Xenopus tropicalis: one gene and its partner. The protein of the gene in region 2 binds, or shares a complex with, the protein of the main gene of each other region. Links are inferred from orthologs where the notes say so. Each region holds a gene or a part of one and is shown on either strand. Other genes may lie near its edges.

Region 1 (4,128 bases), on a different chromosome or scaffold from region 2:
CTGTTTACTTCAGATGTTCAACAGAAAAAAAAAAAAAAAAAATAGGTATAAACCACATACTGGCTCATTTGAAATATTTATTTGTAAAAAGCACACACTCATGAACAGTTCTTGGTCTGCCTGCTTTTTGAGGCATGGGGCACTGCCCATTTTTCAGCAGATGTCAAAAATGCTGGCAGAGGAACACACCACTTAACATCTGCGCAACCAGCAGGCAAGGAAATGGATGGGTCTTGTAACACCATTCTGCCCTCATACCATGAAGGGGACACCTTTTCACTTTTGCAACAAGTATGTGCTGCAGTTTGATTTCACTATGATGTTTGTTTAAAGCCTAGGCAAGGGGTCATGTGACTGCTTAGCACCCGACTGAAAAGGTCATGGCAAGGTGGTAGAGGCACACACCAATCGAGTGAGTACTCATACCATGAAGCGACCTGAAAGCTTTTATGGATCCTGATGTCATTTTCTGCAGTAACTTATCAATGTTGCTCTCCCATGCAGAAAACAGACTACAAGTGTATTGTATCTTATGCAGCATGGAGGGTCTGCATTGTGGGGAATATAACCCTATGTATTATTTTGAGCATCATTTTCCTATAAGTAGCTGGGAGGTTACTGTATAGTGGGTTGCTTTTAAGCTATCAGTTATTAGTAATTTTAGCCAATGTTATAAATCTGTGAACATGAAAGCATGATCAAGTAGCTTACATAAAACCACCTGATAGGTGTCAGTTATAACCTTTTTAAACATCATTTAAAATTAGTGCCTCACCCAGAGGAGCTTACAGGTAGCCATAAAAAAATCATTTCAGTCCAGGTCATGTTATACTATAGAAACCCAGTACAGTAGCGTCAATGCATTTATGTGTGGGATGAGTTGCTGATCTAGTCCTGTATTTCTAAATAAGTAAGCCCATCTAAAATCTGAGTTATCATCACTCATAATTGCAAACTGCTTATGCAATGCCAACTTTGAAATATCAAATAATTACATAAGATAACTCAGTTTTCCTTTACTTAAAGGAGGAGGAAATGTAAAAATTACTGGCAGGTACCAAATGTTAAGCACTGTTAATCACTATTACAATCAGTGATTGTAATTGCTTACAGGGCTTGTGCTCCTGTTAGGAGATAACCACACCACCCCGGGGTAGTGTTCCTCTTACTACTTCTCTTTGCGCCACTTGCACAGTAAAGTGAAAAGCCAAACCTAAACAAAAAAGGTTGGTATTTTCATTCTGCTACACATGTGTCAGCCTTGGGATTCATAATGAAGAGACACGGAAGAGGATCACTCGCTCACAGCTACTCCAGTCTGGTGCCGTTTTCTCCTAACAGGAGCACCAGCCCAAAGTAAAAGGTAAGTGATCAGAATCACCTAACATTTGGCACCCCCAGTGATTTTTAACTGTCAAACACTACCCTATCACATACAAATTAGGGCTACAGCACATCAGGCATTTTCTCCATGAGTGTATTTCAGTCATCAAAATAGTGCCTTAACACTTTGAAATTTACTCACCAAAACTTGAATTCCTTCCTTTTCGACTAGAGCAGTATCATAAGTGGCTTCACACACTCTTACTAATGTTGTAACACCATATTTTTTAAGCTCCTATAAGAGATTTGTGAGAAAACAGCATTAATGTTGGACTTTCTTAAAAGGTGCATTTATTTCAAGATCATGGCCTATAACCTATACTAGCAATCCTTCACCCACATCTCATTTAAAAACATGGTTCTATTGGGTAGAACCATGTAACTGCAATGAAACACAATACCCATGACAAAACCAATACTTGTGTATTTATTTTTGGTTTCTAGTAAGTACAATATTACTGCTTTCATTCATTAACTGGATAGCCACAAGCATTTGAGGCTTATGTGATAAACTGCAATAACACAATGGCATGACACAAACAAGCCAATTAGCAAGTGCTTTCACAAAAAGCAGGCTTATCAATTTAAGAAATAGTATTCTCTCCTTTATAAATGACAGAATTAACTAAAACTCAAACTGTTAAAGGCAGAGAAGTCTATATAAAAGGTGTTTTTGTGAGAACCAGTACTATATAAAATTAAAGCTAAAAATAAATTCAATTTACTTTTTACTGAGGTATATTACTGCTGCATTATGTTTAAAAGGATAAGTAAGACTTATCAAAATCTTTTTAAAAGACTTCATATAGCCCCAAAATAACATCCCTTTCTTCTTGCACTCCGTTTCAGCTCTCAGCTACCTTCTAGTCGAGCATAAAGCTCTTTGCTGGGCTTTTTTCTGAGTGTAAAAACAGTTGAAGGTGTCTACTGCACATGCCTGATTGATTTCGATTGAAGCAGAGGCAGCAAGAACGTGCCGCAGACACTTCTTTGAGCATCTCCATTCAGAGAGGAGGATAGTTCAGAAAAGAGGTAGGAACTTCAGCTCTCTGCTGCTTCCTAGTCTAGTGTGAAGTTGAGAGGCTTGTGATACAGAATTTACATGAGAATGCAGCGATAAAGGCATGTTATTCTGGTAACATTTTAAGAGTCATTTTAGAGAGAAAAAACAGTTTCATTATTCTTTAACTTCCCATTTTACAGCAAAGTTCACTTAGTCTTACCTCTATAAACTTGTTTAGAGTTGCATTGGTGGGGTTGTGTGTTATGAGGAATCTCATGTTCTTGTAGGTTATCTCCACTGGAGCTGGGCGGTTCATTCTGGCCATTTTAAATTAGTAAAAAATGTGCACGGTTTAAAAAAGGAAGAGTGTTTGGGGGCAACTAAAAGTTAATCAAAAGAAATTATGCTTGTAGCTGAAGTCAACTTCACTCTACTCCACGGGAAAATTCTCAGTGCTTGCTTGGATGGAAGCAATGGAAGCGAAATGGACCTCCGTATGAGAAGCAGCAAATCTTCAAATCAGTAATACTGAGGCAAAAGAAATGCAGTGCACTGAGGTTTACCCCATCCAGATTTCAGCCCCTTAAGCAAAGTGCTCAATCAAATTCAGTTTTAATCCAACACTTCTTGTACAGGCCGACTGCTCTTAGGGGGGTTTCTTGGTGGAGTAGTAATGAATTTCTTCTACAGTTCACTTGTCAGCATAGAGCTCATGCTGTGCCTGGCAGTAGTCTCCACTGCCCTTCAGAAACTCCATAAATGTGTGACCAAGAACACCACAGAACTGCTGTTGAAAAAGAGGGGGAAACAATGCTCTTTTAATATGCTGAAAGTTTTCATAAAAGCTAGCACAGCCATAAACCTAAGTGGCATATATTTACGCCCCATATCATTGTTCATGCATAAAAAGACAATATATAAAATATTAACTGAAAATACACAATTTAAATATTGCTTCATTATGCAAAACTTTTTGCCTGTTATTGAAGAGATAAAGCCACATTGTTCACACATTTCACACAAGGCATATGAACTCAGTTTAGTGCAAAATGTGGCAGTAACGTGATAAGCCTAAAAACTTATCAGTACTGATGGGCAAATCAGTCTTTACACCAAAACTTCGCTAAACACATGAAGTCAATAGGCGCCTTTTTGTGTTGAATTTTTCATGCATTTTTTTTCCTTACAATCCATTGTCTATGCGCATTTTTTTTCCTTACAATCCATTGTCTATGCATTTTTTTTTTTGCAGAAAAACCTGGTGAAAAGTTTTACCCACTGCTACTTATGAGACAAAAAGAATATTCTGGCTGATAGAACAGACACACAGCTACAGTTTTAGGACAGTAGGGCTGGGCGATATGCCGTTTAATACCGAATACCTTTTTTTTTTTTTTAAAAACTATATTCATTTTTCAGATACCGCAATACCGGGGTGTCAGGGTACTCACCCGTGCGGCCCAGTCTCGCACGCCTCCTTGCGTGGGCATCCCGTTGTCCGCGGGACGTTGCGCACGCGTGTCAAAGCGCACATACATGTCAAAGCGGCCACGTCCGCGACGCGCCGGTTCTGTGCATGCGTGGGGGGTATTTAAAGCTATCAAACTTTCTGTTGCCGATCCTTCGCTTGCCTGACTCTGATTTTCAATACTGCAGTAATTATTCTCTAATTTATTAGGAAATGGGGTTAACACCTAATCATGCATGGAAAAAAAATACCGTCAAATACCGTGACACCGATA
Region 2 (4,146 bases):
TGGCATTAAAAAAAAAATAAGCTGCAACTGTACAAATAATGATCTAAAGACCAAGCTACCTGCTTTGCCTGTATATTCAGAGAATATATTGGATCATAACACAAATCAAAGCTGCTTACTAGGATAAGGCCATCTGCCTGCATTTTACATGATACTAATATATGCTTATATGGTCAGGAAAATAACGATACTGTACCTTGTCTTCAATCTTTAACCAGTAGCTAACTACCAGGGTCTCTATGGAATGCACCAAGGCCTGCCTCCCCATAGGGATATTGCACCATGATGTAAACCCCATTTTAGCTATGGTGTGAGTAGGGATGGTGGGGTAGGGGGAGTACAGTTTAAATCTTGCACCCCAACTCATGGGGCTTTTGTTTCATTACTGTTCTTAACCTGACATGACCACCAACACACAGCAAGAGATCATGCTTTCCTACCCTCTGCAGTGCAAACTCACATTCTGCTCTTGCATGGCAAGCATTATATATCCAAAGGATACTGCAAGATCCAGCTTTATGAATTCTTGGAAGGGCTCCTACAAACCTTTGTTTTCCCCATTTTAATACATAGTTGGAACTGTGAAAGAAAATGCATGACAAAGTGCACCCCAAAATGTTCTTGCAGCGGGCAAGTTTAGTTTACCTTCCCACAAAACAGGGATCTATCCTCAACCTGCCCTTCAGGTGTTGGCACTGCCCTTCAATCCCCAAATTCTTTATCAGTAAGTGGATTCCTGGTGAGTTAATTAAGGTGCATGGAATGTGTATGAGAAATGAGCTGGCATGTCTGACTGCTGAACCCCAAAGTACTAATCTTTTTCTTTTTTGTCAATGATCCAAACTAGGTTGGAGAACTAGCTTCGCCGCCCAAAAAGTTATGCATCATGTTTTAATTGGAATCTTCTATTGCAGAAGGAGCTTTCACGGTACTTAGGGGTATCAAAGTGACCTACACTACCTATTTTAATTGTCTTTAGTAGGGTTCTCCAAGCAGCTGTAAGATTATAATTATCAACAGAATCTGGAAGTTGTAGTTAAACAATTTAAGAGTCTCAATATGGACAAACCCAGGCAAGAAGTTACTTTACTTCATATCAGCTAAGTGTTCATACTATCCTGACTACCAGATAAGCCCAAAGAAGTACCAATAACCCAAGGCTACTTCTCTGGGAACATTTTAATCTACAGATATGTTCTAGTTATTCCCTTTGTGAGAAGCCCAGACCTTTTTATTATTCACCTCCTATCTGATAAGTAATTCATAAGAAAAAAATTCCTACCTTTTTTGAATTCCTCGAGCATGGCATCCAGCTTGGTGTCATTGAAAACAAAGTGCAAGGGGTGGTTGTAGAACCTGGTGATAGTCTTTAGAGGTGTGCAGTCATCAGGATCCACAAATGCCAGGTCCTTGACAAAAAGCAAGTCCACAATGTTGGACCTCTCCCCTTCATAGACAGGTATCCGGGTGTAGCCGCTTTCCATGATCTCGGACATGGTGTTGAAGTCCAGAACTGCATCCCCAGCCATCATAAAGCAGTCACGGAGAGGGGTCATCACATCCTCCACAGTTTTGGTCCTCAGTTCCAGGGCACCCTGGATGATATTGAGTTCCTCTTTGACTAGGTCATTGTAGGGGTCAGTGACCCTCAACATCTCTAACAGTTTCTCCCTGTTATAGACAGTGCCTATTTCCTGACCCAGCACACAGTCCAGCAGCTTGCTTACAGGGTAGGAAGCGGGAAAGGTCATCATCATGAAGAATTTGGTCAAGAAGATAGTGTTGGCCCCGACAGCTAGTCCATGCCTGGAACAGATCGCCTGTGGCACAATCTCTCCGAAGATGACAATCCCAATGGTAGACACCACCACGGCCACCAGTCCAGATCCAGCGATGTCATCCAACAGGATAGTCAATGTGGTGTTGACCAAGACATTGCCCAGCAGAAGCGAGCAGAGCAGGTAGTTGCCCTGTCTACGGACCGGTTCAATGCGCTTGGCGTAGTTCTTTTCCCGCTCGGTGCCACAGTTCTGGACAATGCGCAGCTCCATGGGATCCAGCGCCATGAGCCCCAGGTTGAGGCCGCTGAACATGCCGGACAGGCACAGCAACATGGCAATGAAGATGACCTGAAGCCAGAAAGGCAACAAGAACTTCTTCTCTTCCACCACAATCACCTTGGTGTCCTCCCCATCATGATAGATCCAGGTGGTCTCTGCCCAGGGCTGTGGGTGCCCCCCACTGGGTGGCGTGGAGATGGAGGTGCACAGGTAGTAGGACTTACTCTTCTCAGTCTTCCGCAGGGGTTTGATATCGATCTCCACGATGCCGGAGCTGCGGCGGCTCAGTGCAATGGAAGGCAGGATGATGATGTCCGAGGTGCGGATCCCGCAGGGGTGGAAGCCTTCCTCTTCCCCCGGGGCCCCGCTCCTGCTCCGGCTCCGTTCGTGCTCAGTGAAGGCGATGCGGGACCACGTCTCGTTGTTGATGTTCTGACCGTAAACCCGCAACCGGACCCGGGTCCGCTCGCTAACCCGCAGCGCTCCGCCGTGCATGGCCGACACCTCGTCCGTATCCTCCAGCCGCAGCCCTATAATGACGGTCTCCTCACTGTCCTCTCCGGCCGCGGACGAACTAGCCATGGACCCGCAGAGCACCAAGAACACCAGAGCCAGGAGCCAGCAGTGGCAGTGCGCCGCCATGTTGAATAGGGGCAATGCTTTAGGACCACCCGCCATCTTTAGTCCGGGTGAGGGGGGGGGTCACATCCAATCATGGCCTGGCTCCATCCCGGCTCTCTCACAGGCAATGCCCGCGCTGCCCGACACCCACCCGGGTTCTGACAGGAGCTAGCAGCCGCGTCCAGAATTGAACCAACTCTTCCAAGCGGGGGCGGGCACCTACTGAGCGACTTTCCCGACAACAAATGAAAAGGTGAGAGCTCTAGAAAATGGGCGGAGTAAACTGACAGCTGAAAGAGGCGGGACCAATCCCTGTGTTTTCAGCCGCGGTGGGCGGGTTTTGGAAGGGAAAGGGGCGGTGTTAGCGTGGAAAGGGCTTGGTCTGTGTGAAGACATGCGGGTTTATGGCATGTGTACACAGAGCTGCTTGTGCTGCTGATTCGTGTAGCGCTGGATCCTCAGCGTGTGCTTCTCCAGCTGTCACATGGAGTCTGAGTTGTAGCTCAAAAACAGCCAATGAGCCGTAGTTTCACAAGCTCTATGCAGTCACCTAATAAACAAATCATTCTTACACTTAAAGGGGAATTGCACCCAAAATATTGAAAGAACATGTAGTTCTGAGCGATTTACCAGATAAATGCATTTAAAGACATCTGTAAAAGGAATTGAAACAGAGAGCAGTGTTTGTTTAAATTTCTCTCATATAACAATATAAGCAGGTCAGTTCTGAAACTGCTTCCTGGTTGCTATGGTACATTGGACCCTAGCAGCCAAATAGCTGATGGAATTCCTAACGCAAGAACTGCTGAACAAAAAGACAAAATATTAAAAACTAAAAGTTAATGGTGAAGTCACCAAGCTGCTGTGTACTATGGGGCCCCAATCTAATAAATATGAACCTTTGATGCTCAGGCCAGAGGTTCCACAGAGGAGGCATCATGTGATGCTGGAAGGCTGGCACCCAATTGTTTGGGGCATGTGTGCAAAGTAATGTGTAAATCAGGGATGTCCAACAAGAAATGTTGCTGACTAGATGTTTGCTTTCAAACTGGTGATGAGTAAATGCTGCCTGTTGATTGGTTGCTATGGGTTACTGGACCTGGTGCAAACTCTTCTTACATTACTCACTGGAGAGCTGTTTGTTTGGAGTCTGAGAGTGTGAATCCAGTAAGTTTGCAATATCTGTGCCCAGTAAGCATTGCTTTTAAGCTTTTTAAGGCTCTACCTAATCTACAAGCAATCCGACCTTTGCTTGCACTGAAGTGTTTTATAGCTTTCCACCTGCACATGAAGCTGTTCCAGGGTTTCCTCCCAGTAATAAGAGCATGGTTCTTTGCAGCACTTCATTTCCCCAAGCAGTGATTAAATGCTGGGGTCATAGGAGAAAGTGTCTTTTTGTGCCAGTGCCATATACTTTCTAGAAAATATATAAGGCGGGGTTTATTAACCCGTACAGTTTTGAGGC

Evidence for each region. Proteins that work in one complex are often made in the same cells at the same time.
Region 1: the proteins of cnnm2 (region 2) and ptp4a1 are in contact, whole or in part, in a crystal structure (PDB 5MMZ), measured with the Mus musculus proteins. The link is inferred for Xenopus tropicalis from reciprocal best matches to the Homo sapiens genes CNNM2 and PTP4A1. Residues at the interface, in NP_291047.2 of Mus musculus: Phe526, Asp528, Val551, Asn553, Glu556, Gly557, Asp558, Pro559, Phe560, Tyr561; in NP_035330.1 of Mus musculus: Asp72, Gly73, Ala74, Gly107, Leu108, Gly109, Arg110, Arg137, Arg138, Gly139, Ala140, Phe141, Asn142, Lys144, Gln145.

Annotation. Positions count from the first base shown.
Region 1 is NC_030681.2:94,857,984-94,862,111, forward strand, and holds the start of ptp4a1 (protein tyrosine phosphatase type IVA 1), read right to left. Parts: upstream 2,873-4,128; 5' UTR 2,712-2,872; coding exon 2,607-2,711; intron 1,619-2,606; coding exon 1,526-1,618; intron 1-1,525. UniProt on the Homo sapiens protein: Protein tyrosine phosphatase which stimulates progression from G1 into S phase during mitosis. May play a role in the development and maintenance of differentiating epithelial tissues.
Region 2 is NC_030683.2:28,842,297-28,846,442, forward strand, and holds the start of cnnm2 (metal transporter CNNM2 precursor), read right to left. Parts: upstream 2,852-4,146; 5' UTR 2,739-2,851; coding exon 1,283-2,738; intron 1-1,282.